Drosophila melanogaster: one gene and its partners. The protein of the gene in region 3 interacts with the protein of the main gene of each other region in a pairwise test. Each region holds a gene or a part of one and is shown on either strand. Other genes may lie near its edges. The genes, in order: CG9106, CG12811, CG11590 and azot.

The links.
Region 1: the proteins of CG11590 (region 3) and CG9106 interact in a two-hybrid assay, tested with the Drosophila melanogaster proteins (one large-scale study listed by BioGRID).
Region 2: the proteins of CG11590 (region 3) and CG12811 interact in a two-hybrid assay, tested with the Drosophila melanogaster proteins (one large-scale study listed by BioGRID).
Region 4: the proteins of CG11590 (region 3) and azot interact in a two-hybrid assay, tested with the Drosophila melanogaster proteins (one large-scale study listed by BioGRID).

Annotation. Positions count from the first base shown.
Region 1 is NC_004354.4:15,267,545-15,275,899, forward strand, and holds CG9106 (uncharacterized protein), read right to left. Parts: upstream 4,862-8,355; 5' UTR 4,443-4,861; intron 4,371-4,442; 5' UTR 4,287-4,370; coding exon 3,855-4,286; 3' UTR 3,492-3,854; downstream 1-3,491.
Region 2 is NT_033777.3:10,045,836-10,054,397, forward strand, and holds CG12811 (uncharacterized protein), read right to left. Parts: upstream 2,963-8,562; 5' UTR 2,702-2,962; coding exon 2,582-2,701; intron 2,109-2,581; coding exon 2,006-2,108; intron 1,935-2,005; coding exon 1,546-1,934; 3' UTR 1,417-1,545; downstream 1-1,416. Other genes in the region: mtTFB2 (mitochondrial transcription factor B2), read left to right, coding at 1-308, 362-501, 563-879, 941-1,367; ohgt (ohgata), read left to right, coding at 3,461-3,482, 3,555-3,839, 3,905-4,544, 4,605-5,107, 5,179-5,486; fancl, read right to left, coding at 5,712-5,750, 5,808-6,803, 6,861-6,971; Npc2e (Niemann-Pick type C-2e), read left to right, coding at 7,563-7,629, 7,928-8,035, 8,094-8,425.
Region 3 is NC_004354.4:14,195,560-14,203,384, reverse strand, and holds CG11590 (uncharacterized protein), read right to left. Parts: upstream 3,208-7,825; 5' UTR 3,125-3,207; coding exon 2,528-3,124; 3' UTR 2,478-2,527; downstream 1-2,477. Other genes in the region: Prp16 (pre-mRNA processing factor 16), read right to left, coding at 101-1,922; yl (yolkless), read right to left, coding at 3,581-3,763, 3,841-6,275, 6,338-7,825.
Region 4 is NT_033778.4:7,944,771-7,952,507, reverse strand, and holds azot (ahuizotl), read right to left. Parts: upstream 2,670-7,737; 5' UTR 2,620-2,669; coding exon 2,173-2,619; 3' UTR 2,043-2,172; downstream 1-2,042. Other genes in the region: CG30378 (uncharacterized protein), read right to left, coding at 1,559-2,005; CG34431 (uncharacterized protein), read right to left, coding at 5,526-7,670; CG14764 (uncharacterized protein), read left to right, coding at 3,988-4,903.

The DNA of each region.
Region 1 (8,355 bases), 1.1 Mb from region 3:
TCAGAGCCTTCTTTTAGGTCTCTGAATTCATATCCTTTGTGCACGTTCCCATTCTTTGGCCGATTTCCATTTCGATTCAAATGCGTTTGGGTGTGGGCTAAAATTTACATTTATTTAATTTGCCCCGGTACGGAGAAATGCAAATGCCGTCGTTGCAATGTAAAATGTTTAAATGCAACCTCTCTCTGTATCTCTCTCTCTCTGCTGCTATAGTGGCGTCTCTTTCGCTTGGAATACGGCCGTCTTTGTCTGCATTAATGCATATGCATGAGACTTAAGCGACGGCCACGCCTCGAAGTTGGTAGTGGGTACCGACTACCCACTACCAAATTATCGACACTTAAAATGTTGCAAGCGTCGCCTGGGCTTGCCAACCCAACCTCGCACTCACCCCCCGTCTGTTTTAACCCCTTTGTAGTGGCCTTTGGCGCCCCGCTAATGCCACGTTAACCCCCTTTTTCGGTGCTTCCTCTGGGGTCTCTTCATCTTCATCTTCGTCTTCATCGCTCCCGAGTTTCGTTGTCCTGCCAAAGGGATTCCCGTCGACGTTTATGTAATCTTAATGTTTATGCAGCTTATGCTTCATAAATTCGCCACTCCCCTCCCGTGAATGTTACCCCCCCACAGCCGCCACTGGAAATGCGCTGCTTTTGGCGCCGCGACGTCGTCTTCCGGTGGCATTTTGCGCCATCGCAGCTGGATCTTCATTTTATGCCCTTGCTGTTCGGTAATTTGGCCAGAATTTTACCCCGCCGCGTACAGTGAAACTTATCTGATCCACTGTATTCATAACTTATGAATCTTGAAATTTGAAAGTTCATGTCCCTAAATTTACTTTGCTTGCTTTGTAAATGCTATCTATGCCTTAATTTATTTAATTACCTAATGGGCAATAATTAAGTAAAGAAATTATTTGTTGCAAACTTAAGCATAATAAAATATATCAATTTCAATCCATCTATACTTTTAGGGTAACTGCAGTTTGGCTACCCTTTTCGTTGGCCATTCATTTCGTGTGTTTTTGCCGGCTCTTTTTGCTCTCTGCTTCCCTTTTTGCACATCCGTTGCCGTTTGTGCCATTTGTTTATTGCCAGTTTTATTGCTTCATTGCGAAAACTGGCGAGCTATACTCTGCTTATCTACCCCCATGCCCCACCAAGCCCGTGGAAATCCTGCCGCCTTCTGCTCGTTTTTGGTCCTTGCAGCTTCATCTTCATCCGCATCCGCATCCACATTGCTTCTGCTTTATTTTGGCTGATGGAAATATTTTTACGACAAGTTTTTCGCGAAGATTTGCAACATTTGCAGAAAACGGAAACGGCAGCCAGCCAACGGAAGTGGATGTGGCACTGAAAGTTGCGCAAATCAGCGCAAAAACAAAAAAAAAAAAAAAGAACGAAACGAAACGAGGGAAAACCCTGGGAGTGGTCTCTGCTCAAATGGAACGCACATTTTGGCCATAAAACGCTTAACGTTGATGTGTTCGCCTTGATCAACCTTTGACCCCGGCTCAGGCTGACCCCGGATGTTGTCAACTTTTATGCTAACATTACATTCGGTGGACAGCATTGGAATGACAGCCGTGCCCCGCACTTTTCGCGTCCATGAATTTTGCATGCGGCAGCAGAATGCAAAATTATAATTAGGCAGCCGCGTGATGCGAGCGAAACAAGAGATATGGCCCTTTCTTCCCTTTCTCCCCTTTCTCCACTTTCTCCCTTTTTGCTGCCAGTCCGATTTTACAGTCAACGCACGTTCGGGCATAAAGTACATTTTATTAGCTTGCCTTTTGCATCGGCCATCGGGTGGGTGGCTTAGTGGTGGTGCTGCATCACTTCCAACTGGCCTCTAATTTCCAGCTGCCGGATGACACGTAATTGGTGTGACCAGGGCACAGGAAGTTTCGGGAGAAACAATTACGTTGCATTCGTTGCAAAGTGTGATCAGCAAACGAATAGCTGGAAAAAGCATTCACATTTAATTACAACTTTGGATAATGTACAACATACAGGCAATTGAAGGAATCAATTGTACAATAGTTTTGCAAAATTAGTGTGGCCAGGCTGTGAAAAGTTGTCACTTAACTGTTTGCCTTAACGGAGAAAATAATTACACGAATGTAATTAGTTGATGTAAAAAGGTAGTTGTAGCACATTTAAGGCTCCTGCTAATTCAAATCAAAACGATTCCCTGCGAACCTTCGAAATTATTTTTGAAAGCACCAAAACACTTTGGTCACACTTAGGTAGATACCTTTCATACGATTTGATTCGCTATAGTTTCTCCCCCGCTGGCAACGCTGCGTATGCGTAATAATTTTTTAGTTGCGCCACACCCGACACGAAGCCCATGGCAATGCAAATAAATATTCAATTGCAAATGGCTGAGGGGGCGGACAGTACACTCCTCTCTTAGGCTGTATTTTTTTTTTATTGTTGGTTTTTTTTTTGCTATAAAAGCAAGGGAGAAAGTAGGGAAGGTACACGCGAGGCGGACGCGCTCAAATTGCAAATTGCGCTCGTTTACAAGCGAAATAAATGCGCGAGCGCCTGCCATTTGGCAAAAGTCAGCCATGCTCCACACACAGATCCTGACCCACCGCATTTTCCGCTTTTCCACCGATTCCCGCCGCCAGCGAATGGCATTAGAAAAATGAAGCGTCGTGCCGCAAAAGACAAGTTGGTCGTCGTCGTTGCCTCGCTCGACTTGCTTGGCATTTTTGTGTTGCGTGCTTTTGGGCGCGTAATTAGATAAGCAGCCAGCCTGGATATGGGTCCTGTTTATCCATGCCCCAGCTCCTTGCCGTGTCCTGGCACGGTGTCACCAGCCAGCCAGCCAGCCAACTGAACAACCAACAAGCCGCTGACAGATGGAGCGTCATAAAAGCGGCAACAACAATGCGCCGCAGAATGTCTGAGGTTAGGAATAGCGGCAAAGTGGTGGGGCGGAAATGGGAAATGGAAAAGCCGAGACAAGACCAACCAACCAACCAACCAACCAACCGACCGACCGACCAAGCGAGCGAAAAGGGAGTGTAAAGCGGTGACGGGGATTTGAATTTGTCACGTGGCCGGCAAACGCACCTGGGCACAAAGGGGCGGACAAGGACACAACATGCAATTATACGCAATCAACATAAATCATTCAAATTGCCACGCACACACACACACTCGCAGAAGAGGGAAAAATAATGGTAAAGAAAAGTCGAGACGCACTTCAAAAGGGGGCGGCTGTCGGTGTGGGCGTGGTGACCGTTGACGTTGGCTTTTGGCTAATTTGCAATTGAAATGCCCAAATTCTGTGGGCTGGCCGCATTACGCATACGCCGTGTGGTGTCTGCGTGGCAAAGGCTCCTTAAACTTCCGCTCAGTCCATTCATCTTCCACCCCCGCATTCCGAGTCGACTGACAAATGCCACAGGGGCACGTGAAGCGGCCAGTGACCAAGGTAAATGGCACCCATACTGTCCATAGAGATTTCTTTATAAATTTCCTTTATTTTATTATTATTTTTTTTTATTTTTTGCAATTAATTACGGAATAACCTTGCAGATTCGTATACTATTTCTAGTAATTGCTGCCTTCGGAAAAATCACTTAACGCCAGGAACTTAAAATTTAGAGCAGGGAATGTAGCAAGAAAAAACAATCGACGTTATATTGCCAATGCCACGTATTTGGCGAATACTGAATTCCTAGATTTTGCCAACAGTGCCAAAGTTCAAATGACAGTTGCCATGGTCCAGCTTATAAACCGTACAAGCCAAACGGAGCTAATCAAGAATCCATCAAAACCATCGTCCATGTGCGGTACACTGCAATCGCTTCAACGAAGAATCTGGTTTATGCATCACCATCAGTCGAACAGAACGTCCATCGGTATGCCATAAATCTCGGCCAGCTGCAGTTTGGTGTAGGCAACAACGCCGCTGGGACAGTAGGCCATCGCCTCCTCCAGAGTGACCCACTTGGAGCTTGACTCACCGGCACATACCACATGCAGATAGACGATACCATCGAACATCTCATGGCTGATGATGCCCATCAGGTTGCTGGGGGTGCCGCTACTGACGTTTCCGGCGGTGTTGCCACTACCGTTACCATCACCGTTACCGTTACCGTTTCCGCTTCCGCTTCCGTTTCCGCCAATGATGTTGCCGCTCTGGCTCCCAGCGCTGCTCATTCCATCGCCGTTGCCACCGTCGCTGCCGCCACCGCTGCCGCCACCCACGCTGCTACCGCTGGCATTGGCGTTCGAAGAGGTGGACGGATTCAGATTGATGACCATCCTGGAAGGGCAGCGGTTCGGGATATCTATGAGGCAAATATCGAATGCAGCCAATTAACTGAGTGTATTTATAATTATTTGGATCTAGTAAGCCGAAAAGTATTTCTTATATATATTTAACAACAATACTTATATTATAAGTGATAATTAACTCACCTGAATATAAAACTATCAAAAGTGGAAAAGAAATCGGATTGGAAGCAGTTATCAAAGTGGCTCAATACTGAAGCTTCGTTGCTGGTTGCTACCTTTGGCCTTCTGGACGGGATGGTCCGTGGTTGGATTCTCGGTTAGTCCTTCGGAAACCGTAAACTTTGAACTTTGAACCTACGAATTTTGTACTTTGCTCGGTGCGATCCAATGAGACTCTGGTGCAGTGATGTGCTGCTTAGGGATCTGTTATACACTTCTCGACGTTCAAGTCGCACGCGATTCTAGTGCAACTCTCTAATTAGCTAGATACAATACCAAGTTATGATTTTTGTTTCGCTGTTTGATTCTTTTTTTTTTCGATTTTCCTCTATTTTTTTTCACTTTTGTTTAAACGGTGTGTGTGTATTTTGTGTCGATTGTGTGTGTTGACTACCTAGATGATTTTAACTTATGAAATGAGCCATGACATTAATCTGGCATTCTTTTCAAAGCCAGCTGGTACATTTTGTTTCGACGATGAAATGAGAGACACAAATATCGCGAATATTCAAGATTTTGGTAAATTAATAATTCTTATGGCTATTTCATTAATTCATGACACTGCACATTCTAAGTTAGACTTTAAAGTAAGTGCAGTAAGTGTACTATTTAAGTGCAAAAAGGCAAACAAAGTTTTCAAGGATTTTTTTTTTTAGTGTTTTCCTCAGAAAATCCCCATACCATTCACAATTTTTTGACATCGCCCGGCAACACGGGTGTTTATGAATGTGCCATATAATGTTTTGCTTCTGCCAGCAGCACCAAATGAACTGAACAAATAAAACTTTCACGGCAAAGTTGTTGACACGGCAGCCTCCTCCTCTTCCGATTTGCAGCTGCAATTCCTCACCTTCATGTTCACGCTTAGCTCTTTATTTACGATTGCAGGTGCAATGCGGGAAAAGTGCAGGAAAAGTATGGGAAAAGTGTGGGAAAAGTGTGGGAAAAGTGCGGGTGTGGGCGAGAGGAAAAGCAAAGTAAAAGCACCAGAGCTGAGTTTAAGTCGCGGGAGCAGGGGTCCCAAAGCAATTAAATCGCATTCGCCGTGTGGAAAGCAAATAGGATTCCGGGTGGGGCTTTGAATGTGGAGTCCGGACAGAGACAAACAATCAAACGGAAATTAATTGCGGTATGTGTGAAAAGTGAAAGCCAAAAGCTGTTCGGTAAATGATTGTCGAGCAGCGAGTTTTACCCCGGTTTCCCCACGACGACTTTAATTCTTAAACCCTGATTGATAGCTAACCTCGTCCTGGAGCAATGACTTCTGCTCTCCAGCTCTTCAGAATCGAAATGAAACCAAGATAGTATGCTGACATCCGAAAAGAAGTAAATTTTTACCACTGCATAGCCACACAAAGCGAAAACTTTTACACAGCAACCATGTAATAAAATAAGTCTTCAGAATTCGATGGGTAATCTTTTCAGCTGCTTTTTGGTCATTCAATATATGCTTTTCGTATTTAGAGGCATTTTGCTTACTCATTGAACTTATGTATGTGAAACACAGCAATTTTCCACACTTGTGTCATGGCATTGCCAAAAAGCGATAAGGGCGAAGGGTCGAAGTTTAATTAATACACCATTACGTGCTGTTTTTGGCCAACAATGGGTGGGTAAGCTTACCATTCGTTTTGAGATGCGTTGCAGCCCAATTTTGTCAACGTGGCCATAGCTGTATCCACATCCGGATCCGGTTCACAATGAGACGACGACTCATTGGACCGGCAGTGAGTTATATCAAAGACACTAGAATAACAAGATGCGTAACGGCCATACATTGGTTTGGCACTATGCAGCCACTTTTTTGGTGACGGCCAAAATTACTCTCTTTCCGCTCACTCCCGCTGAGAGCGTAAGAAACCTAAAAATATAATTTGCTTGCTTGTGTGAGTAAAAACAAGAGACGAGAACGCGTATAAGTGTGCGTGTTGTGCTAGAAGACGATTTTCGGGCCGAAATCAATTCTGATCGAAGAAACGAATTTACATGGTACATATTAGGGTAGTTTTTGCCAATTTCCTAGCAATATGATAAAATAAAAAAATTTTTTAAAATTCGCGCCCTGACTATTATAATTTTAAAGCTTTTTAAATTTGTTTGTTAAAATTGCCGCTCGAATTAGCTACCGTTTACACATTTATATTTATGTTTAATTCTAATTTTTCTCTCATCTGACAATTTTTTAAAAGCTAAATATTTTTTTTGAAACACTTTTAATGTTAATGTTACATCATATTAAGTCAAATGATTTAATAAATATACTAAATAATTAAATATGCAATTAAATGAAATTGCAAAAGTAATATCAAAGACAATAGAATTATTCTAGTGTCTTTGCTTTGTTCATATCTTGAGGCACGAAGTGCGGACACAAGCACTCAACAATCATTACCTTATTAATTTTTCACACGCCGCAAGATGAATACTCTAATGACAAATATTCTTATATAAAGTCATTTTTGAAATTTATTTTTGTGATAATATGTACATAGATTTGAGTATTTCTAATCTATTTTCAAATAATAATAACGTTAAGGCAATGCAAAACAAGAATTTTTCGCATGGTGCCAATTGATCAAAAATAATATAGATTTAAAGCCAAAGAACTTCTAAGGTGAAGGGCATATTTTTTCAAATTTACAATGCATGTGAATACGTGTGCACACATACAGATGTCTGCTATCACTTTGTGCGTTGAAAAGAGCTGTTCGCTGTAGCGCTCTTCGCTCTCTCGCTCTCTACCAAAAATTCGAGAGAGCCTGGAGCCACCTCTAGAGCCACGGCCAAAAAATCGTGTGCCAAAAAATCGTATGGCGTTACGCATCTTGTTATTCTAGGGTCTTTGGTTATATCTTCATGAAAGATTTGACAGTTGCACCAGCAGTCGCACCCAAGGGGCCAAATTGAGTACGTGGAAGGAGTATCGCCTCCATTGCCTCGGTTACACGCCTGGTTTGACTCCAGCATCCGACGCTGCACTGCTCTGCGCCATCCAAGCGTTTCATATTGCCACCTGCCACCCAACTGTGCCACATGCCACCAGCCACCAGCCTGCAACCTGCCACCTACCATCCCACTCGCTACCCACTTGCAGTCGCACTCAGTTCATAATGCTGTCAAGGTTGAGCGATGCTGAAATATTGAAGCCTGCCCTTTAAATATTCACGATATTCGTGGCTTGATGGGCGGTATTGGCGTTGGCTTTTGCCCGAAGCAGGTGATGCCGTAGTGAAAACCGTCAAAATGCCGAGCATTAACTTGTCAACTTGGTTGAATTCATTCTTAGCTGGCAATCTGCTCAAAAGTATTTACATTCGATTGCCAACAGTGGCATCGTCATATGCAGCTATAGAAAATGTTATAATACGCACTTATCTGACATTATATTTGTAACTTTACGTTTTATGAGTAAGTGTTTACATATCTGTGATCTATTTTGCTTGTTGGTTGGTCTTCATAGTGAACATGTGTTGCATTGCATTCACCAAGGTGAGCGATATAGTGTGACCATACAATTGGTAAAATATAATTTTAATAGAATATCCGACAAATATTTAGAAGATTTCAAGATAAGAAGAAGATAAGAAGATTTGTATTTGTATTTGTATTATTTAGTAAAAGGCATAACCTAGTTTCATTAAAAACAAAAATGCTTAAAAATGGTCAGTAGCAATAAATAGAGTGTGCCCAAAGACGCATAAACTGCAAACTGGGCTGTGTGATTGACTTTTGGATGCAGTTTTGCCAGAGGTCAAAACACACACACACACACACACAATTTCAACGACTGACAGAAGCGTGTATGTGTATGTGTGCACTTGCCATTTTACCTTTTGTTCTGGCCCCGTTTGTTGGCCAACTTACTGTGGAGCACCAG
Region 2 (8,562 bases), on a different chromosome or scaffold from region 3:
CCAGTACCTGGAGCCCCATTTCCAGAGCTCCGGTTGCGATACCGTGATGGAACTCAATTCCGGTGCTGGGTACTTTACCCGGCATCTGTTGGACAGGGAATCCCAGTTTCGACGCATAATTCTGCTTGAGAGCATGGATCACTTTATGCCCAAAATCCAGGAGCTACACACGCTATATCCGGAACGTGTGAAGGTGCGCCAAGGAGACTTTGTGAACCTGTGGAAGTTGGTGTACATGGACAAAATGGACGGTGGTTCCAGGGTGGCGGATCTCCTGAGTGATGTGCCCCAGAAAGCGTTTACAGATGGTAAGCCCATATTGGCTATTCAATATATCCTCGAACTTATTTTTTTCCTATAGATATCAACATGCTAGTCTTCGGCGCCGTGGGCTCCTATCCATTCTTCAAGCACTTGATCAACTCCCTCATTTTTCAGACCAGCCTTTTCAACCTTGGACGCTGTGAGATGATCCTCGCCATGCCGCCACCCATATACATAGTAAATAAGCTTATTATCCCTGAAATATATCACGCTTATATCACTCATTTCCCTCCGTTAGCATCTCACCTGCAACAACGAGATTGGCTACCTCATTTACCGATCGACCAGCGTACTGTTTCAAATTCTGTTTGAGCACAAATTCATAGCCAAGGTGCCGCGCGAGGATTTTCTACCTCAGCAGATGGCCTATAGCCCCACCAAGAGTAGCAAGTTGGGTAAGGTGCAGTCCATCAATCCCGAGTACTTGTACTTGGTGAAATTCACTCCGCGCCGCAATCTTCATGAGCTGTGCCAGTCGCAGGATCTACCCGCTCTCTGGTTCTTCATTAAGCAGAACTATGTAAGCCGACGAAACAGAATAATACCCAATTTAGAGTAGGTAACACAATCAAATCATCTGGGGTTATTTTTATAAATTCAATTATTATTTGTGTAGAAAGTGGGTTCCCGGCTGTGGACCTCGGCTTATCATTAATCCGAAGTCCTCCGAGTCCGTAACACCCATCTATCCAGATGAATTGCCCAAGAAACTACCACAGTACTCGTGCCAGAGTACTACAATGAGCACCAGAAACTACTATCCCGGCATCAACATCTACACACAGTTCGGAGATCTCCTGCCCAGTCAGATTCTGACGCTATTTAGTCAGTTTCGTCAGTGGCCGGAGTACGGCGAGAGCTCTTTCCTCGCCTCGCTGGAAAATGCGCTGCTCAAGCTGGAGACTGCCAATGACGAACCAAACCTAGAGGATGGCGTCACGTTGCCAGAAGAGGATGATGCCGAAGCAGATGAAATTATCGAAGAAGAAAGCCCTGTACCCGCCACCACTCCCGTCAAGAGGCGCAGGAAAGCCAGTTCTTAGTTGTACATAATAGCGTTTTGCTTGTGCAAGAAAAATAAAGAATTGCCTTCATTTTGAGAAATGGTATGTAATCATATTATATCTGTCTTAAACATGGAACAAATTCGCTATTCTTCACTGGCCTCCACACATTACCAAACAGAACACAATACATTTAAGCACATAATGTTAAAATCCTTTAAGGACACTTTCCCTGAGCCATTAGGCGACTGCCGCGTGCGCATTTCTCGGCCAAATCAACGTAGTATTCCGGCGGAGCCTGCTCCGTGTCCGAAATACGCGTCTCCAGTTGAACGGACAGCTTCACACAGTCCACCATCAAGTTGGTGGGATTCACGCCAAGTACAAAGGAAGCCTCCTGGTAAGGACACGGGTTTTCTTCCTTCTTGGTGTTTCCGAACTCATAGCATGTGTCGCGAATCATAAAGTGTCCGTCCCTGTTACATGGATTTCGTACGCACTTCGGGATGATCTCCTCCTTGTAGAGCACCAGAATCTGTCCAGCCTCACAGGGTCCCTGTCGGTAGGCCGGATAGCAGCCATCGGTCTCCGGGTAATACAGTGTGGCTATCGAAGGGGAAGTACCCATACGGAGATTATTATGTCATCGCCATGGTAGCTCCATTATGACCGCTCACCTGGCGCGCAGTCGCAAACCCAGTCGTTCTGCTTCTGCTGGTCCCCCGGATAAAGAAGCTGGTGCTTGGGGCATCGGGCTGGCGAATACAGTGGCTTGCGACCCTGTTGATGAGGAGAAAGCGGAGGGGTGTGAGGCAGGAATTCGATTGATTATTGCCAATGGGGCTTGCATACACTACCAAAACAGTCCCCGTATTTTGAAATTCACTTCAAACACACACTTTAGAAGTTTAAAGGTTTGAAACTCTCAAAGTCACCACAGTGATAAAATAAATGTATTTCTTATTTTTAACAAAAAAAAAAATTTTTCAATCACGTTCAACAGTATCCATACAATTAAAAGTCTGTTATTATAATTATTTAACTAGAACCTTAAGCTAGTTTTAAAATCAAAGCAATCATGAAATGTTTTTGAACATTGGTCACTACACAAAATTCCTAATTGGACTCCAACGACTTTCACTTCTGATTGGGAAGGGTATTCGGCGAAAGATGTTGCCCAGTTCCGGCTGGGTTTTCTCTTCCATTTTGGCGTTTCTTATCACAAATGTGGATTGTGTCTGGCTGCAGCTTACCGCAAGGTTGGCCTTCTTCTTATCAATGTCTTGATCCTCAACAAAGGCGATTTGAGCGTGTGCCACTTTCCCAATAAACGCAATAAGCGCGGCGATCAGCAAAAGTTGGGGATTGATCATTGTCCGTATAATCACTTGTTCATGTGATACTCACGGCAATTCAAACAAGTATGAGGCTGGCCAATCTTGACTTAATCTTAATCAATGGGAAACGAAGATCTTCGATAACGATAACGATCTTAGTTGGGTCCAGTTATGTTATTGTTTTACGTTTTCTCGGAAATATTCCAATATTCCAATTGGAAGTTTAGTGCGAATAACCAGAAAAGCAGAACAAAGTGAAATTAAAACATAGTCCAATAAGGGCCAGTTCCAATTGATATTGCTCTCCCGATTACATCCGCTCTTGCTAGTGATGCTCAATACTCAATCAATGCTCAGCTGTTTCTATCGATGAGTTGAAAAAAATAACTTTCTGATCATATAAATTTAAGCCAAGAGAAAAGGGAAAAACTTAAAAAAAATATCTGCACACTTACGTTTGCTTTTGAAATATTGGATTAAGAACTCCTTGTTAAGTAATGCTTAGTTATATTGTCTTCCTATGAGTTGTGGACTACCAAATTACTAAGTGTATCAGAAATTAAAATTGAAAATCGAATAATTTGTTATATAGAACGATAAGCATTACGAGTCTATTTTGGCGCCCAACTACCGAACATTTTCAAAATGTTGCCATTATTGGTTAGCACTGGTTAGCCAATCGCTAACTATCGAAAAGCTCCCATCTCTTATTTTCCTTTGTCAAAATAAAAACCAAATAAATATATATAAAATTCACCTGCAAAACGAAGCAACAAAAGACACTGTACGGCTCAAATGGACGAAGAGGAGAACTCAGGTGGGTGTGGCAGCATCATAGCACTCGCCAAATGTTCCCAATAACATATGTTCATCATATGAAACTGCGCAGAAATCAATTCTGTGCAAGCACGGGATGAAGATGTGCAATTGGAGGACCAACAGTCACAGGGGCTCCAGGATCGGCAGGTAGACGTGATAGAACAGGCTTGGAACAATGCAATGCCAGACGAGCCGTCACCGCCGGCAGAAGATGCCTTCCAAGATCCACTGGCCACCGATGGTGAGGGAGGGGATGCACTTGAGGCCATGGTAGAGAACGTTTTGCAGGACGACACAGCAAGCGAGGGCAGTCATCCCAGCAGTGACATGTCTCTGGAAAGTCCAGGAAGTGAAGGTTAGTTGGCTTACAATCGTTGTGCTGCACATTCCTACTTAACCCGCGTTTTCCATCCTTTCCAGATGATTCCGATCTGGAGAGCCTGCCCCATTGGATGATTCCGCAGAACCGACTGCGCTCCGCCGTAGACATGATGGTCTCGCAAGCCCGCAATCGGGATGGTGGAATCGCTGCACTGCTCAGTGGGGACAACTTCCTACAGCGAGTGCGTAGCATGGTCTTTAGCCAGGAGCGACGGCGCAGTCGCACAAGCGAGGAAACGAGCCAGGAGGCTGCCGAGCAGCCCGTTGATCCACCGCCACAGCAGCCACCTCGACCACCAATCGACATTGGCTTTGACACCAATCTGCCAGCGGAGCATTCATACTTCGGTAATCATTTGAGTCGCGTGCCCGGAGTGGACTACTTGGAGGTGGGCAGCGTCCATCACATGCTCATCTTCTTGCACCAGCACATCCTCTTTCCCGGCGAGGTGCTTCCCTTCATGATCGACGGCCGAATGTTTGACGAGGATATGCCCGGTCTGGACGGTCTGATCTTCGGTGTAAGCTTCCCGCGTTTGCAGCCGCCGGAGGACAACCCACACAAGTTGTATGGGGTCACGTGTCAGATCTACGAAAGGGGCGAAAGCGGCCGAGGATTGGTGTTCTACAAATCACGAGCACTGCAGCGCATTGTCATCAACTGCGATGATATAAAAGGGTGAGTCTTGACTATACGGATCACCTTAAATTCTCCATGATTAATCCCATATCTTTTCAGGTCACCGCAGTACATTGCTCGCAATCCAACTAGCAAATGCTTCAGCAAAGTCAAAATATTGCCCGAGTATTTCCTGCCCGAACCGCTCCAAACTGTTGACATGGGCTCGATGGCCAGATTTCGGGATATACCCTCGATGCGCGACAAGTATCGCAGGTTCCAGCTAAGCACTACCACCTGGCCATCTGATGCCTGCCAAGAGTATTCGTTTTCTTCAATTGTGGAGCGAGCACGCCAGAGGCTGGAGTCCCAAAAGATAGACACAATGCCAAAATGCCCCATTCAGTTGTCCTTCTGGTTGGTGCGTAACCTTCACCTGACCGAGAAGATGATGCGGCTTACCTTCCTCACCGACTCGGTTAACACTCGCCTCCAATTGATCAAAAGCACGTTCAAGGACGAGACACTCTTCTTTTGCCGATATTGCAATAGCAGCTTGGCCCTCTGCTCGGATCTCTTTGCCATGTCCAAACACGGTGTGCAGACACAGTATTGCAATCCAGGTAAGCATAAGGAGAAGTCCAATGTCCGTCTTCTATAAGCAATGAATTCACTGAAACTAACTACTTTACAGAGGGCTACATCCACGAGACAAACACCGTGTACCGGGTGATATCCCATGCCATCGGCTACAGCGGCGAGCCGTCCACAAAGTTTAGCTGGTTCCCCGGCTATCAGTGGCACATTATTCTGTGCAAGTTCTGCGCCCAGCACGTCGGGTGGGAGTTCAAGGCCGTGCATCCCAACCTAACACCCAAGGTGTTTTTCGGTTTGGCCGGCTCCAGCGTGCGGATTGGAAAAGCCAGCGAGTACTCGCCCTTCAATGGAACCACCTATGTGGTGCGGAATATGATGCGGATGATCTCAAGCGATATGGAATGAGGCTGGCGCGTTGTGAAGCGATTTTTCAGATGTCAACTCTGCTGCTGGCGTCGTCAGGAGAATGATGCGGTCCATCAGGTGGGACCTGTTTAATTCGTTTCACAACTACTTTTAGCAAAAACACACGGCGTTTGATGGCGTGGATGTAAACCTAATTGATATTTACGATTATTTGAATAATAAGTTACTCTTAAATATTTGCTTTTAATATTATGGTTACAAATTTCAATCATTTAAAAGTGCCGCAAATGAGGTGGACAGCTTCTGAAAAAGATAAAGCAGTTGTACATTGGCAATAGATGAAATGATAGGCAATATTACCGCCTTGCAGAAGGGACACTGGCCGAAGGAGACCTCCAGAAAGGTCTTGCCATCCATCAGAGTCTTAAACCACTCCTCCAAACAGACGGCATGGCACTTTAGCACACATTTGGCATTGTCGCAGGAGACGAGGGGCACCTCGCCACCATCCAGGCGATAGGCAAAGCAAATGTTACAGCGCAGCTCTTCGTTGTCCTCTTCATCCAGCTTGGGTCCATCCGACCAGTCTGGCATGGGAAAGTAGCACAAGTCGAACATTCGGAGTAGGTTCTTGTGAATGTTCATTTCGGAGTCCCAGTTACTTAGACCATCGCTGAGAACGTGGCGCAGGCGGGCCACCTCTTCCGTGGGCCCAATGATCTTTAGCGACATGGATGCAATGCAGGCAAAGGGATCCGCGATGGTCAGCTTCAAGTAGACGCGATCCTTGAGAGGGAACAGTCGTGTTTTGTGTTTGCTGCTGATGGGCGATGGTTGCAGCACATGACAAAGCTCGTCGATATCCATGAAGTTGTCGTAGAAGGGACGCAGATCCTCGAGAAGCTTGCGAAAGAGGTTTAGGGCCTCCTCTAGGTTTCCAGCACTCTTGGTCAGCATTTCACCCAGCGATACGCAGTCGGGCAAACTGTGATCAAGCAAGAGAAGAGACGGGATCTTAAGCTCCAGATAATGCTGCTCGAAGTCGGTGAATTCGCTGAAACGAATCATGGAACAGGCCTCGTCCACTTGCAGGCAGTACTCGTTTGACTTGTACAAGGCCAGGATATCGTAATATATGTTCCCCTCCCGACATAGTTCCTTTGGCACTGTTGGGGCTTTTTGGGCAGGAAGAATCTTTGGCAAATGGTCCAGAAAATCCTCCAGCAGCCAATCGTCCTGTAACTTGAGATTAGCCGATGTGTACAGCTTGTACTCCAAGCTTTCCTGGACGTAGAGCTGGAAACCATGAAGAGCTGGGTGGTGTGGCAGATAGAGTTTAAGGCGGCGCCATGTATCCTTAATTATACAATCATTATTAGTTTGGCGGGAAAAATTGAAATACGGATAACTTACCTCACTGCCCAAAACTCCTCTGATGATGCACGCTCCACTTGGCTGAAGCTCCGCTGCCAGACCAGGATACTTTTGACACAGAAGGCGCTCTACATCTTCGTTACTTTCCATTATATTTGATTTTGGTCAGATTGTGCTTGAATGACTTTTGTTTACATTTTATGTTTTGAACGGCCATAGTTAGAGATGTGCAGTCTTCGATGACACAAAGTCTTCAATCACGATCGATAGGAAATTAATCGGCCGCTTTTTTAAATTTGATTGCTCGATCAAACCTTAAATTATATGTTTATTAACCCTTCGAGCCAATATTCCGCCTTGCTTACATATTCACCCTCTGGCTGTTTTGTTTACTAGGTATAGCCGGCAACATTGTAGTTCAGCCTCTCCCTACTTATCAGCCAAATTTACGTTATTTACTGATTCGAATCGGCATTGTTTGCTCTTCGTCAGAGCGCAACACCTGCAGGCCACAGTGGTTTTCTTTTGTAACACCTGCGTGGCGGCCCCGTATCAATGGCAATAGCCACCGATTTTGATAAACTGCTCTCTACAGGCGTTGGTCATCGTTCGAACACGGGGCTATTTAAGGTTCTCCACCAGCCCCATCGATTCCACTCACGATTGTCATCTGCGTGCGCGCGTACTCAATGTATATTGTATTCTTCTGAAGTAAGATTAAAAAAGATTCCATCCAGAAAAATGCTGCGAATCGTTGTAACTTTGGCTCTAATTCTGGCCACAGTCAATGCCACCAATGTCCAGCAGTGTAAGTAGCTAAAAACTCTTTTATTTTGTTGGAAAAACATCAAATCATTTTAAATCGACCAGTTTGTTAGATTGGATTCATGATTCTAACAGATTTCTATGACGATGATTCACTTCGCAGACTTTGTCTCGAAAACTATTGCCAAAAATACGTTCTGAGAGAAATTTAAAGTCCTAACGTGTATCTGTTGGCCAGGTTGATATGGCTTATCAACAAACAGCTAATCTCTTAGAAAAAAAAACATAGCCTTCTTTTGAGCTCACCTTTTGATTCTTCGAAAACATATTTCCGCTTTCAGGCAAAAATAAGCCGTTTCCACTGGATGTGAATATTAAGGATTGCGAGGAACCGCCGTGCGTTGTGTACAAAGGAACCATAGCAGTCATGGAGGTGCACTTCCTGGGCAGTAAGTTTCGGCCATCTATATCCGTGTCCACTTGAATCTCATCATCGATGTCTTGCAGATAACAACAATATCAAGAGCATTACGGCCACCACAACGGCAAAGGTTTTGGGCATGAATCTGCCATATGCCCTACCCGACGAAGTGTCCGATGTGTGCCGCAATCTCCTGTACGGTGCCATCTGTCCCATCGACAAGGACGAGGATGTCACGTATCAGTTCAACTTCTATGTGGAGCCTTCGTTCCCGGAAATAACGGCGGATGTCACTGTCACGTTGAACGATGCGCAGAACGAACCGATCACCTGCTTCGTCGTGAGCTGTAAAATCCGGAAGGGAGCCACTGCAGCACAGATGGACGGATATCTGTTGGACTGGACGAACCCCCTTTAAGCCGACGATGTACGCAACTCCAGCCGTTTCGGCCGACTGAATATTTCCACTTGTTTGCCAAATAATAAACCACAAAACTCTTGCACAGATAAGACCATTTGTTTACCTTGGCTACGTCACGAATTCCAGTGTACTCA
Region 3 (7,825 bases):
TTCATGGTTGACTGTTTAGGAATCACTCTTTCACACAGATTGAGAAACATTGAGAAAGAAAGAGAGCGCTTCCTAAACACTTCTAGAGTAAATTGCCTACCCAGCTGGGTGTCCATCTCGTCGGAGACTCGCTTGGCCACCGACATGGCGGCCACACGACGCGGCTGCGTGCAACCGATCATGCCACGCTTGCTGTAGCCATCCTCGTGAAGATACTGGGTTAGCTGTGTCGTCTTGCCGCTGCCCGTCTCGCCCACGATAATGATCACCGAGTTCTCGCGAATAACGTTGAGCAACTCTTGACGCGATGCGAAAACGGGCAGGAAGCGGCGCTGCTCCGAGATGGTCTTTTTGCGCGAGAAATCGCTCTTGCCACCCGTATCCTGGTCGCGCATATGGTCGGCGAACTTCTGATCCTTGCGATAGTCGGCCTTGTCCTTCTCCTTGTCGAAACGCATATCGTCCTCGTCCTGCGGCCGCTGTACACCCATAATGTTGCCCAGCTTGGTGCCGCTCAGCTCCCAGTGCTTCTTTTGCGCCTTGCGCCGCTCCTTTTGCTCGCGATAGTTGCGCACCAGGGCGCTGCCCTTGCGCGCCAGCAGTGCCATATCCGAGGTGGGATCCTTGACGGGCACCACCGGCTCCGGTTGCTTGGTGAACACGATGCGGCCGTCGAGAAATGGCGGTATTATGTGATGCACCAGGAGATGCACTCGCTCCAGCGCCTCCTCATCGAAATCGTCGTTGACGCTGATCAATGTGACCACGCCCGAGGTGAGCATACGATTGCGCTCCCACAACTCGTTGTCACGGTTATTCTGGCGCTGCTGAGCGCTGATTCTCTTTGTTCTCTTCTGCTCCAGCTGCTCTTCGCGCTTGCGAAAGTACTCGGAGTTGGGGCCACCGAATGGATTGTTCTCATCGTCGTAGCCCTCGTCAATGTTGTACCACTCGCGGTCGAGGCGACGCTGCTCCTCCTCCCACAGATCCAGCGATTCGGGATCCTCGCCCCATGGCGTTGCGCCGCTTCGCTTGCGACCGTGTGCCCACTGATTGTAGCGATGCGCTGGCGTTGGCCGGACAGTGTCATCCTGGCGTCCGTGATTACGCCGACTGCCGCCGCTCCGCACTGACCAATCACCCGACTTGTTGCCATGGCGTCTGGGCGTTGGCATATCCCAGTCCGACTTGCGCTGTCCAAACTCGCCGTCCTCGTCGTCCCACGAGCTATTGGATATGCCACCGCTGCTGCCGCCTGGTGTTCCCGGCTCACGCGGCGTATGGACACTGCGCTCGGACATGGAGCGATCACGATCACGATCACGACCACGATCCCGATCCCAGCTGCGGTGCCGATCGCGCTCCCTTTCTCTGTGTTGGCGCCGGTCGCGGTCACGATCCCGATCTCTGTCCCGGTCCCTGCGTCGGTCACGATCCCAGTCGCGATCCCTGTCCCTGCCCTCTGCCGCTGTGCTGCTGACTGGGCCACGTTTTCTGTCCCGCTGGATGTGCTCGCGCAGACGCTCGCGTGCCTTCTCGGAAACGCCGCCGGTGTGCGAGGGTGTATCGTCTTTGTGCTCGCGCAGCTGGCCGCGCAGCTTTTCGAAGCTCTTGGTGTCCGGTTTCTTGAAGGCAAACTCACTGGAAGCGCCAGAGGCGTTGGCCTGCGGCGTGGAGCTCCCGCCGCCGGTGTCATCGAATTCGCTGTCCTTGAAGGAGATCAGTCGCTCGGATCGCTCCTTTTCGGCCCGTCGCTTGGCCGCCAGCTTGTCCAGGCCCAACATCGATCCCTGCGGCACCTTGAATCCACCGCCACCGCCAGCGCCGGCATCCTTGGGCTTCCGGATGACCAGGCCGCCGCGCGTCTCCTGGCCAGCGGTGCCCTCCAGCCGATGGACACCCGACTCGTCGTCGTCGGACATCCTGTTGTGCTGGTTAGTCTGTTGCTCCTTGGCTATTTCGCGAGTCTTGCTCGTTGTCGCAAAAACGATTCATTCGCGTTGGCGTTCTTGGGCACAGCTGATCGGCGGGGCTGCCATCCCGCTAAAAAAAAAAATGCTGGACAGCAGTAATGCCACTCTGGGTTAATTGTCGTTACGAATTTACATTTTATTCTAATGCAGAAAATTAGTTTTTAAATACTTACTTTTAAATATTATTTAGCTTGAAATATTTATGTGCATGTGCGCAACTGTAAAATTATATCTATTTCGTTTTTCCACTTATTATTTTCTTTGTTGCATTTTGTTTTGTTTAATTTATTGGTAGAACTTGTAACCGCATAATAAGATGGTAAGTTGTATTTGAAATGGAATAACTAAGCTTTATATATTGCAAGATACAATAATTATGATTATGTGATCAAATGTCCATTTCCATTTTCTCAAAACATTTAAATTACATTAAAAGTTTACAGCTAAACAAAGAGTGGCAATGCTAGAAAATAAAGCCCTTGTTAATTTTTAAAAAAATAAATTAATTTTCCAGATAACCGTTTTATTTCCATTAAATGGACTGCAAATTGAATTTAGTCTTTGCTCTCGGCCTTTGTGGGAACCGTCTGCGCGATCCAATCGAGATACGGCGGATTGCCATTCTGGATGGGCAGCGCGATGACCTCGGCGACGCTGTAGGGATGATTCTCGCGGATGAACTTGCTCAGATCGTCGATGCGGCTGGTGCGCGTCTTGATCATCAACAGATATTCGGAGTCCTCGCTAATCTCGCCTTCCCACTTGTAGATAGACTCGACTTGGGACACAATGTTCACGCATGCGGCCAATTTCAACTCAACGATGCTGCGGCCCAGCTTTCTGGCTGACTCCCGATCCGGAGTGGTCACAAATGCCACCGAGCTGCTGCCCGACTGATAGGCATTGCCTGTCGCCGCTGATTGTTGCTGGTCGCCCATTTTGGAGCATTCACTGGAATTGGAATTCGAATTCGAATTGGTACTGGAACTGGCGTTGGCGGCACTGGAAGAGAAGCAACAACTTTTGTGACTGCTCGCTGTGGCGAATGCCGGCGGGTTGGCGATGGCGGTGGTGACGCTGGCAGCGATCAACAGGTTGCGCACCAGCGACCAGCGAAGGGGCAAGCAACTGGCGGAGATGCGATATTGCATTCAGATGCACTTTGCACGGTGAAAAGCAAAACAATAATGAAACAAAAAACCAAGTGCCACAGTCGGCGGCGTTGCCAGACATTCCAGTCAAATGCGATGTTTAACATTAGGGCTCCTGCGCACGAGACAAGTGGGATTAACATAAAATGTAGTATTTTAGGTATCTATGTTAACGGTATTTTTTTTCTTGAAGAGAAAAGTAACGGTTCGTTTTTTAATAGATTTCAAAACTATAAAAAATAAACAAAAAAAAAAACTTTTTCGGGCCACAAGATGCCATTTAAAAAAAAAACGCATGTGTTCGATTTAGTTTTTAATATTTTGCTAGCTATATAAACTCCAATCACCGATTAACATTTAAATACAATATCATTTTAACGCTACAATAAATACATAGATATAATAAACAGCAAACAGCAGCAATAATAAAATAAATAAATAACCACTGCCACTCATTTACGACACAAATCGTGCATTCGCATCATTGCCTGCGTAATTTCCCCCGAACTGTCCGGCTGATTTGGCGGCATCGTCGTCCATGTCAGCCACCAGGATGTCCGGCACCTGCCGCCCAACTCCGCGTCCGCCATCGCCATCGCCTCCGGCCCCACCTCCGTCCAGCGCATGTAGTTTGCTTTCCTGTTGAGCAGACGATAGTAGTAAGGGGGCAATCGTCACATATCTTCCACGGCCATCTGACCCCCATCGCTACTCACTCTGCTGGGGCTCTCGAGAAGCAATTCCTGAGCCATCGGATCGCCGGACGCCGACTGTCGTGGACGGAGCAGTCGCTGGAGCGCATTCGGCACACTAAACTGCTGAGCCGCGAACGAGGACGTGGCGCTGGTGGTGGTGAATGTGTCGTTGCTGCCGCGGCTGGACACCGTTCCCGTTTCCGTGGTGAAGCCGACTCCCGCCTCGGCGCGTTCGTGCTCCAGGAACGCTTTGGTGCCGCCGAGCGTCGCCAGCGGATTCTGGAAATGCATGTTAATGTTGAGATCCGTGTGGCCGCGCTGCCGGTACTGATAGTACATGTACCCGAGTCCGGCGATCAGTGATCCGGCGGCTAGGACGAACAGTGCCATCAGCCAGTGAAAGTGACCGTTCTGCTCGTGTTCATGTTCCAATTCCAGGCTGTTGACCGCACCCAACACGGCCACCTCATTGCCAGAGCCATGGGGACACCGTTCGCCTTCGGCCACCAGACGATTGCCACACATGCATTCGTAACCGTAGTCCGCCTGCAGGCACAGTCCATGGCAGTGGGCATGGGCGCATGGATGCGACGCCTTCTGCGGCTGACGCGACCTGCCCGCCACCACAATGTCCTGGGCGTTCAGCACGTTAATGCTGATCTTGTGACAGATGCGGGATCCGTACAGTGCGCACTGCACCGCCTCCACGGAGCCCAGGTTCACGATGAACGCATTATTTTCGTACACACTCAGCCCAGATGGATGCATCAGAGCGTTGGACTTTTGCAGCATTATCTCCGGTCGACGCATGGGACCCGTTTTAAGCCTATAGCTAATCCTCTCCAGCGTGCGCATATGCTGGTCCACAAAGTACAATAGCTGCTGATGCGGATCGGTGGTCAGGGCGGTCATGAAGCTTTCGCTTCGCTGCAGCAGCATATCCCTGCGACTGCCGTCCAGTCGAGCCATGTGAATCTCCGAGCTCGTCTGGCCATAGCCCTCGGTGCGTATGACTATGTAGAAGATCCGGGCGTGATAGCCATCCACAGCCAAATGCTTAACGTGCCTGGGACTCTTCACGTGCACAATGCGGCCGCACATGCGTCCCACGAAACTGCACGCTTGGATCTCCTGCGCTCCACTGAGCACATAAACATTTCCGGTGACCCAATCCACGGAGAGTTTCGTCGGTGCGGGCAGACCCAGAGCCCGCACAATCACCTTCGTTTGCAGATCGATCTGATAGACGATGCCCTCGTCCTCGGCGGAAAAGTAACCCATTTGCCGGTGCATGGCCAGATCGAAACCGGTGATCCTCGAATCATTCGCCGACCAGGCCACATTGAGCATAACGGGCTGTTCGCTTAGGTTTCGCACTTCGTTGAAGCTGCTGAAGAGCAGAGTGGCGCCAGACTGCAGGCTCTTGCAGCTAACGCGATCCTGGCGCAGCATAAAGTCCGCATGGCACTGGCACTGATAGCCGCCGAGGGTATTCTCGCATAGCTGAGCGCATGGCTGCTGCTCCTGGCACTCGTCAATGTCTAAACAGCTCTTCTGATCCGCGTCCAGGCGATAGCCATCGAAGCAGGAGCACACGGCGCCGGCTGGTGTGGCGCGGCACTTGTGCTGGCACACCTGGCGACCCGATGCCGAACGGCAGGCGGTGGCGCACTTGGGTCCCTCGTCGTGGCCGTTGGTACAGTCCGGGAAATTGTTGCATACCCGCGACAAGTCCACGCACTCGCCGTCTTGACAATCGAAGAGATGTGGCCGACAGGATCGGCTCGAGGTGCTCCACGGCTGAATTTGGCTCTGATTGTGATGGCCCTTTTCCAGTTCGCAGCTCAACTCGTCACTGCCGTCGCCGCAGTCCTTCTGGCCATCGCAGCGGAACTCCCGCCGGATGCACTCTCGACCGGAGCGGCACTTGAACTCATATATGCTGCACACATCACCGCAATCGGCCTCATCCTCGCCGCGCGGACACTCGGTGGTGCCATTGCAGCGAACCGTAGACGGCAGACAGATCTTGAGATTGCTCGTGCATTGGTATTGATCTTCCGCGCAGGATATGTTCATCGTGGATGAGTCCGTGCCGCAATTCAGTTCGTCGGACTTATCGCCACAGTCGTTGTGGCCATCGCACACCAGACTCCGGTCCAGACACTGACCCAACAGACAGCGCTGCATGTCCGGCGGACAGCTGCGATGGACACACTTGTCGTGCTCGTCGGATCCGTCGCTACAATCGATCCGCCCGTCGCACTCCCAGCTGCCCGCTATGCAGGATCCGCTGCCGCACTGGAACATTCCCGGTTCGCATCGCGATGTCGCCTCGCACAGCAATTCGTCGGAATTATCGCCGCAATCATTGGTTCCATCGCACACCAGGCTCGAGTCCACGCACTTTCCATTGTCGCACCCGTGCTGATGGACATGGCACTTCTTGCTCTTGTCTGTGGAGTAGAGAGAGTATTCAAATTCAAATTATCCACCAAGTGCAGCTCGTTTCGCTTACCGAACTTCTCGCAGTGCTGCTCATCCGAATGGTCGTGGCAATCCTTGCGATTGTCGCATCGCCGCTCCTTGTCGACGCACTGCTCCCCGCTGTGGCAGGCGAATTGGTTGGGCGAGCACAGAACCTTTGGCTTGCGCCGATGCTCCTCGTCGCAGTTCATCTCATCCGAATTGTCCACGCAATCGCGTCGTCCGTTGCAACGGTGATTCATTGTGAGGCACTCGCCACTGTGGCAACGGAACTCACAGTCCAGAGCCTCCACGCAGGTGCGGTTACCCGCATCCCGGTAAACGAATCCGGCCGGACATAGACAGATCGAGTGGTAGGGTCCCTCGCCCACACAGATGTGCGAACAGCCGCCATTCTGCTGCTGGCAGGGATGCGATTCCTGGCCGACGGGTGAGCTGGCGGCCAGCGGAATTCCATTGGGCGTGGCCACAGGCACGTACGGCATAATGGCGGCCGGATCGTCCTTCTCCATTATATCGATCACCTTTCGCGGCCCCATATTGCTCTTGTGCGTCCAGTAAATCCTTGGCGTACCCAATTCATTCCAAAACAGATCGTGATGCACCATGGCCAGGCTATAGGGACGCCTAAGCTTGCCCCGAAAGATTTGGCTGTGCGGCACCCTGTAATTCGAGTAGCTAATCCTGCCCAGATCGCTGTCTGACCAAAAGATCGTTTGGGTCTCGTAATCGGTGACCAGCTTGATATCATCATCGCCCAGATCGTCCTCGAATACATGCACCTGTTCGCCCTTGCCGCTCAGCGGTATCTTGTCAATGTGGCTGTGCCGCTTGGCCTTGAGCACAACATACAGATAGCCCTCCGCGGGCATAACAGTGAGTCCAATTGGCACCTCCTGGCCCGGAAAGAAGCGGATCAGCGCACGATGGCGCGTCTGCAGTGAGAGCACCTCAATCACAGCCCGCTCCGTATCCGCCCAGTATAGATTCCTGCTCAAATGATCGAAGGCCAGGGCACTCACATTGCCCAAATTGGAGCGGACCAGGACGTTGCTCTCGTGCGACTCTGGCTGAAACTCCAGGATCAGTCGCTGGTCATTGTCCGCTATTATCAGGCTGCCATTGATGCGATTGTACACCATTTCGTTGATCAAGCAGGGCAGCGTGTATGACTTGCTCACCTGATGGCGCCCAAAGGCGGTGTGCTCGATCTCGAGCAGCACCTGACCGAGGCCAATGAACAATCGTTGGCGCTTCTCCATTAGCATGCAGCGCCGATGATCCGGCGCCAGCCGCATGCCATCCGGACAGGCGCAGCTGTGACCACCGATTTCGGGTTCGGCCAGCAGGCATAGGTGCGAGCATGTGGCATTTTCGCAACCATGCGGCGAGTTGGGCTGCTTGGCCGGATGATAGATGTGTACGGCGTAAATGGTACGATCCTTGGCCAGGATGCGATGATCCTTGCCGGAGAATTTGTGACACGCATGCACACTCTTCGTTGCCCAATCTGACCAGT
Region 4 (7,737 bases), on a different chromosome or scaffold from region 3:
TGTCGAACACTTCCAGTGAGTGCACAATCATTTCTGTGACTAAGACATATTCATAGCACAGCTAGGGTGTTTTCTATTATGAACTATATATTTTTAAAGCGTGCCTATGTATAAATAACAACTCCGGAGACTACCTAAAAGTAGTATAAACTTTCCATGCGGAAGTACGTGTATAGCTAAATCCCACCCTTTTGGATCTTATTCCGAGGGTTCGCTTCGTGGGAATCAAACAGGTGCGCTGGGATTGAATACAACAATTCGAATCAAAACTGTGGGTATACGAAACTCATATATAAGTCGAGCAGAAATTTATTTAGTCAATTAGCCAATTATGGAGTATTGCTGGGAAATAAGCTGAATGTTTTCTTTTTTTTTTTTCTAATTTCAAATTATAATGCTGCCCCATTTGTGACAATTTGTGTCAACTTTCTTAATGGACGACACTAATCAATGACTTAAATTACAGCGAGGAGCGCGGGCTTTATCAATGCGCTTGCACAGCGATTACTCGTATTCCATATTTACCTGTGTGAGGAGTAAACAGGCGCTATTGATTGCCTATAGCCATCGGTTCAATGTCGCACCGCCACTCACATGCAGAGCAATGCAATTAAACTGTAGCTGAACGATAACCTATTTAAATTATCCATATGAAGCGCTAGAAACATATGAACGTCGGAATGACCTCTCGACTTTTGATTAACATTAATAAGTCCGTGGGTTAACTGTAAGTGGATGTAAAATAAAGAAGCTAATGTTTTAATTTTTCAATTAAGCATAATTAAGTATTTTTGGGGTTATTGTGGGTATTTACCTTTTACAAATAGGATTAGCAATGACGAAATCGTGAAATCTTTCCGAGTAATGCATCCCAGCCCCGAAATATTTCTCCGAATTCGGCATCAATTATTCTTTCTCTATACATGATTTTCTTTTATATATGTTCTGAAATCCATGCACGAAGGCGCATTCAAATTTATAAACCTTTCCCCCTTACAAATTATTAGTCACTAGTCACTTGACAATATTTTATTGCCAAGGTGGGCTTTTATAATTGCCGAATGAGTCATGGACAATGTATGTTGTATGCGTATTAAGGGTGCCAATAGATAACAAGGTAATTTAAAAAGAGCAAGGTGCGATAAGACTTGAACCCAAAATCATGCCACTTGTAAACTTGGTCAGACAAAAAGGAAACCAGCGAGTCCAGTCCAGTCCAGCACATGGTCAAATATTTAAATTGGCATCGTAATCAGCGTGGCTCGATTTTATGATTGCTCTGGCCCATCGCCATCACCCTTTCGAATATCCTGGCACTCCCCAGCGGCCATTAGGCACATGCGACCGTTTCGGAGTCACGCGCCGTGCCACATGGACACACACAAGTGGACTTCTTCGGACAAGGTTTAACAGCCGACTTTCTGGCGCTGCGTTGAGTAAGCCAAAGGAATTTGGTTGGGAATTTCAAGTGGTGCCGCCTAGGCGTAGGGAAAACGCGACTGGGTTGGGCTCTTTCGAAAGGGGTTCGTGGTTAATTTGTGCCTTCAATTTGGAATTCCTAGCTTCGCATGGCGGTAACAAATTCGTTGAAGGAGATCTTTCCATCTTTGTCCTGATCAATGTCCTGGAACAACTCGCGCAAGTCCTCTTCGGACATCTTCTCGCCCAGGTTGGTCATCACCATTCTGATCTCGTTAATTGTAAAGCTGTTCACTTCGCTGCGATCGAAGATTTTGAAGGCCTGCTTTAGGCACACCAGACTGTTCTGCTCCTCCAGCCGTTTGCTCATCACGTATAGAAAGTCCTTGAACTGCACCTGCCCACCGAAGTCGGCGTTACTTTCGTTGGCCAGGTCGTAGATCTCCGCCTCGGTGAGACTCTCTCCAAGGGCCCGCATTACTCCGCCGAGCTGTTGGACGGAAACCCATCCGGACCGTTCCTTGTCATACAAACTGAATGCTTCTCGAATTTCTTCAATCTGGGCCTCGGTCAAACTGCCGCTCATTGTTTCCAAAGTGATTTTCTTTTTTTTTTTTTTTTTTGTAGTGGACTAATGTTTCATGTGCTTTTGTCAGTGTGAACATAAAGAATTTAAACTGAACACAGACAGAACGCCGACTTTTTGTTGGATAGAAATCAAGCCAGCCTTCTATACGAGTACTCACATGGAGGCTATCGCATTGTCATCATGTTGACGAACTCCTCGTAATTCAAGTGATTGTCCTGATCCAAGTCGTACTCGCGTATCATTTCTTCCAACTCGTCGTCGCTGAGCTTTACGCCCAGCGCGGTGAACACATTTTTTAGCTCGGTGGTGGTAATGTAGCCATTGTTATCCTTGTCGAAAATTCGGAAAGCTTCGCGCAGCTCGTCCTCATGGTTGGTGTCGCGCATCTTGCGCAGAATCACATTGCAGAACTCCGGAGCCACGATGGATCCGTTTCCCTCCGAATCCACCTCATTGATCATGGACTGAACCTCGGCGTCGTTGGGCTGGCGACCCAGGGCGCGAATCACCACCGCCATCTCTTTAGATGTTATGGCGCCCTCGTTGTCCTTGTCCAAAATACGGAAAGTGTCAAGGATCAGGACTCGCTCCTCATGCGAAATATCCTCCATCTTAACTGGTATATTATAGTTTCTCGGAAGAGTTGTATATTGCTCTGTTTATATGTAGGTGTCAACTGATGTTTGGATGAAACAAGGTCCTGACATTGAACTCAGTGAAATGTGAAAAATGGTAAAATGAACATCCCCCGGTGGCTTCACTGCGCTGCACAGTGCACAACACCGAATGGCACAAAATCAATATGCTCGTTATATAAGCGCAGTGCCGCACGGACAGAGTTGATTGATTCGAATGTCCTTGGGCGAGGAGGCCTTGCAGCTGATCGGTTTCAATTGCGACCCAGCAACGGACGTCAGCTAGTATCTTTCGTTGTTCGTTAACAAAACAGAAGGAGAGTGCCGTTCGAGGAAAGTTAAGGAGTAAGAATGTGTACAATCACCGTCATTGTTCCAACGCACACTCAAGAAAAAAAAGGCTCATCTTTTCGCTATTCGAAATACAAGAACTCAACAGAAGTTTGCAACGCCAAAATATTTGTGTAGAATGAAAACAACATTAGTGAACTTTTATAGTTCCCGAGATCTCGACGTTCATACGGACGGACAGGCAGACGGAAGGACAGACGGGCTTATCCAGATCGACTAGTGATCTGGATGAATAACTCCTTTAGCTTCACGAGTAACTGGTATAAAAATGTAAATGTAAGATTTTGTTCTTGATTGCTTAAACTTATTCGTAAGTTTTGCTATACATTAAATAATCTATCTATGAATCAGCATACCATACTATTCATACTTAACAAGAGTGTTTTGAGTGTACTGCCATACAAGTGTAGTGGTTGCTATCGGCACAGAAAGGTTGTCATGCGATTTGGGTTTGGCGCCTAGCCTGCAACTTTGGCGGCTGCCTTTTTGCCGCAGGTTAATTCCAGTGCTTCTCCCCCTCGGCCCTTTCACCTGACCGCAGTGGGACACACCTGACACCGGTTTTTGGCTGCCGGAGGAGTGGTAGTGCCCGGGGGGGTGGGCAGAGAATGCGGCACGCTTTACTCTGGCCACAGTCTAAGCAAATAATAGACAAGAATTTGACATCGGCACGAGAGGGTTCCATTGTGCGGCTCATTTGATTTTTGGTTGTGTTTGGGTATTTGTTTGGGCTAGTTTCGGCGAAACAGAGGAAGTGTGCTAGAGGGCCATAATGGAAACATATCTCACATGTGTGTTTCGGAATTGTTCCTATGACGAGGCAAATTCTGGCCATATTTTTTGACCATTAACGCCGCCTGGCCCGACATAAATAATTTTCTAAGAGTGGGGTTCGGGAACCGTATGTCAAAACTTAAATAATAAATCTCTTGTTTATTTCTTGGATAAACCAAAAATATTCATTTATTGCAAATTTAATTTTTTTTCTTGCAGGAAAACCTCCGCGTTGGCTTGGAACGCAAAAAGCTCGAAATAGACCCAAAGTATTTGCTTCTTCTGGGCTTCACCTCGTCAAATGAAGCTACAGGCCAACAGCAGCAGCTGGATCAGCAAAATGTGGTGGACATCGGTTCACCAGGTCAGCAACTGCCAAAGACAGATTTTTCAGCGCCGGCTACAAAAGCGGAACTGGAGCTCAGCGAACTGCGAGGTCTGCGGCGTCCACAGGATGCTGTTACCTTCGGTAGTCAGGCAGGAGATCAAAAGGGGCAGCGGAAGCGGATCACGACGCCGTACAACGGTACAAAGAGCAACTTCACAATCGTCAGCTATGTGCTGGAGGGGCAGGCCGCATCGGCCATCCTGCTGGCCCAGAATATTGCCGCCAAGCTTCCCAGCGAGTACCTGCTAATCTACGATTTGGGCGTTTCCGAGGAGCAACTACGGGATTTGGGCGCCTACTGTAATAACAGCCGATGCTCGGTGATCACCTATGATCTGTCGGAGTTTCCCTCCTTCGTCGCCGATCAGCGGACGCACGCCTACCGGCCCATTGTAATTAAGGACGGTCTTATGCGTGCCCGATCGGTTCTCTTCTTGGAAAACAGCATGCGCGTGCGCGGAGGTTCCGCCCAGCTGCGAAGTCTGCAGAGCATCGTTATGAATCCAGGAGTGGGAAAATCTGCAGTCAAGTCCGCTGGAGTGCTCGGATGGAACACAGCGACGGCGGTATCCTCTCTGACGCATCCAAAAATGTTCGACTACTTTGAGTCGAAAGCTGAGGAGTTTAACTTTCTTCGGATGGTCGACCTGGATGCTGTCTTCTTCTCGGACAGCTCCTTGGTGGCCGAGAAGATCATGCTTCCCTGGCTGAAGTGCTGCCTCACCCTCGAGTGCATCGATCCGATCGGTGAGTCGGGTGGGATGGGTGGTGGTGGTGGTGGTGGCGTCATAGGGATATGTAAAACTGTCATTAGAAATGTTCCTCAGTCACTGCCTGACGCCAATATAAATCAATCAAACGTACGTTCAAACCTCCAACCCCCAAGCTCTCCTTCGGGGCTAGGCTCGTGTACTAATAACTGTCATTTGCACGGCATTCCGTTGATGGCACTCACATCGGGGAAATTTATGTAATTACCACCTGAATTGGGATTGATGGCAAAAGTGACATTGCCTTTCTTAACGAACAATTCATTTTTATTCGACCGGCATTTCCCAAACTAAGTAGTCAACAATACTCACTTTTTGGCTGGTTATTACATATAATGCTTACCAAGCATAGGTGAATTTTTAATAGAAATAAGCTTTCATTTCCTTGAATTCATCTGAAATGAACTCTGTGTTCACTTCCTGGCACTCCTGGCGAATTAAACACAGAGCTCATTTTTAATTGATGAATCCAAAGAAAGAAAATGCTTCTTTTCCAATTTCATTCATTTTCTCGCGCATGTTATATGCAGTCAAATGCTCATTTCTGTATCTTCATTGATTGACTAGATTCAGATACTTTATAGTCGACAAATTTTCGGTTAAGGATCAAAGGTATTTGGAAATATTCCATTCGTTCGTTGCTCGGCTTCAAAAAGTGTTTGATAACAGCGTGATATCATTTTTGTCACATCGAGTGCCTTGTAAGCCTTTAATAATTCTCGTGTGTAGTTTTCAAATCGAAGGGGGGATGTAAGGTTCTCAAGGGTTTCGGAAATGATTTTGGGGTAACGAGAATACAAATTTACATCTTTGTGACTTCTGTGTTTCGCTTCGCAATCGCTTTGATTGGGCTTAGTTATGGAGATTAATTCCCTTTTTTCTGAAACAGGTGCTTTTAACTTTCTTTTCTTGAGATTTTCCATATAGTATTGTCGTTGATTCAAAAAATTTCTTTTCATTGTCATTTCCATTAGCAAAGGTGATACTTTTTCAGTCCTATACTTTTGCAACGAACAGCAAATTTCACACTCGCATTCAGTCTGTGTACCTGCGTCAGTTTTGGGAACGAAAAGTCGTTTAGATCGTTTCTTTCTTCGACGATTGGGTGGTTGGGGTTTCTCTTCGGCCAAGGGAACATACTTTCCTTGATAGTCATCGTAAGTCAAAAAGTCCATGGGTGAATCTCTGTCGTCTAAAATAAACAGTTCTGCATTCGCCCTGGACTGATTTATTCTTTTGATCGACGCAAATGTTCTATTTAATTTTTCAGAAATCTCATAGCCCAACGGCGAAACAGATTCCTCAAAGTACTCAAAATTGTCGCTATTTCCGTGTTTTAAGGTCTCTAATCGATTTAGTTGCTCCAAAAGTTCTAACTTTGAGCCAACTTTTTTGTCACTCAGCCTGTCAACGTTAAGAAAGATGTTAGTAGCAGTTTGTCTAGTGAAATTCCTCAGATTCGTGTCCATGGTACGGAAGGCTTTGCGGTTAGAAATAATTTCTGCCTCCCTTGGTGTGTGTGATTTGGAATCATGGATAGTATCTTGATTTGAAACTCCCTTCTTGAGATTCTTGAAGCCATAGTCGTGGATTTTAAGTCCTTTGCCTAGCTTAAAATCAAATCCTTTGTTCCCAGATGATTTGGTCATCTTAAATTCGTTGGTTCTGATTCTCTTTGCTGGTGTCTTCGATGATTCAGCAGGATATGTTGAATCGTGTTGCGCTTCTCTAGCTGGAACCGTGTACTTTGAAAGATCTCCAAAAGAGGTTTCGAAATTAAGGGCGCTTCCGGAAAACTTCTTTAAAATCGTTCGGTTCATTTTCTCCATCATCCTTTTGGGAGTCTTTATGCCTTTAAACTCGTCCAGCTCCTGCATAACTGAAACAACTTCTTTCAGTTTATTTTCCACTTCATTTTTCTTTCGTTTTTGATGTTGTAATGATAATTTGGAGAGTTTAGATTTGTTAACGATGCTCCTCCTATACGTTTTCTTAGGCTTGAGATTAAGTTGACTTCCTTTCTTAAATTCTGTGCTTTTGATTCTATTTGCTATTGTCTTCGATGGTTCAGCGGGGTATTTTGTATTGCGTTGTATTTCTCTTGTTGAAACTTTGTACTTTGATAGATTTTCATTCTTAAATTCGGTGCTTTTGATTCTCTTTACTAGTGTCTTCAATGGTTCAGTAGGGTATGTTGTATCGCGTTGTATTTCTCTTGTTGAAACTTTGTACTTTGAGAGATTTTCATGCGCGGCTGGGAAGTGAAGGGCGCTTCGGGATAAGCTCTTTATAGTTCGATGCATTTTCTCCGTCATCTTTTTGGGAGTCTTTATACCCTTAAACTCGCCCAGCTCCTGCATAACTGAAACAACTTCTTTCAGTTTATTATCTACTTTATTTTCCCTCCGTTTTTGATCTTTTAAGGGAAATTTGAAGAGTTTAGATTTGTTAACGATGCTCCTTTTACACGTTTTTTTTGGCTGGAGATTATTAAGCAGACTTCTTTTCTTCAGTTTTTTGGTTCGCTTTTGGGTAAAGACAAACCTGCTAATTAGTCCATGAAGAAGGCCCACGACAGGTGCTCTTGAGCTTAAATGCGTTGCTGTAGGTACAGGACGACTCATTGGGGGTTTAATCTTGTATTTTTCGATTTTAATTGGGTCAATTAATTGTTTTCCGCTCGCTCTAGGGACAATTTCTTTTGATTTTGAATTTTTCAACTCACGCTCCTTAGGAGTATACATCTGTGTCAGTTGGCTTATGTGAATCTTGAAGCTCTTCCACTTCGGAGTATTCGAATCTCGTAAATTC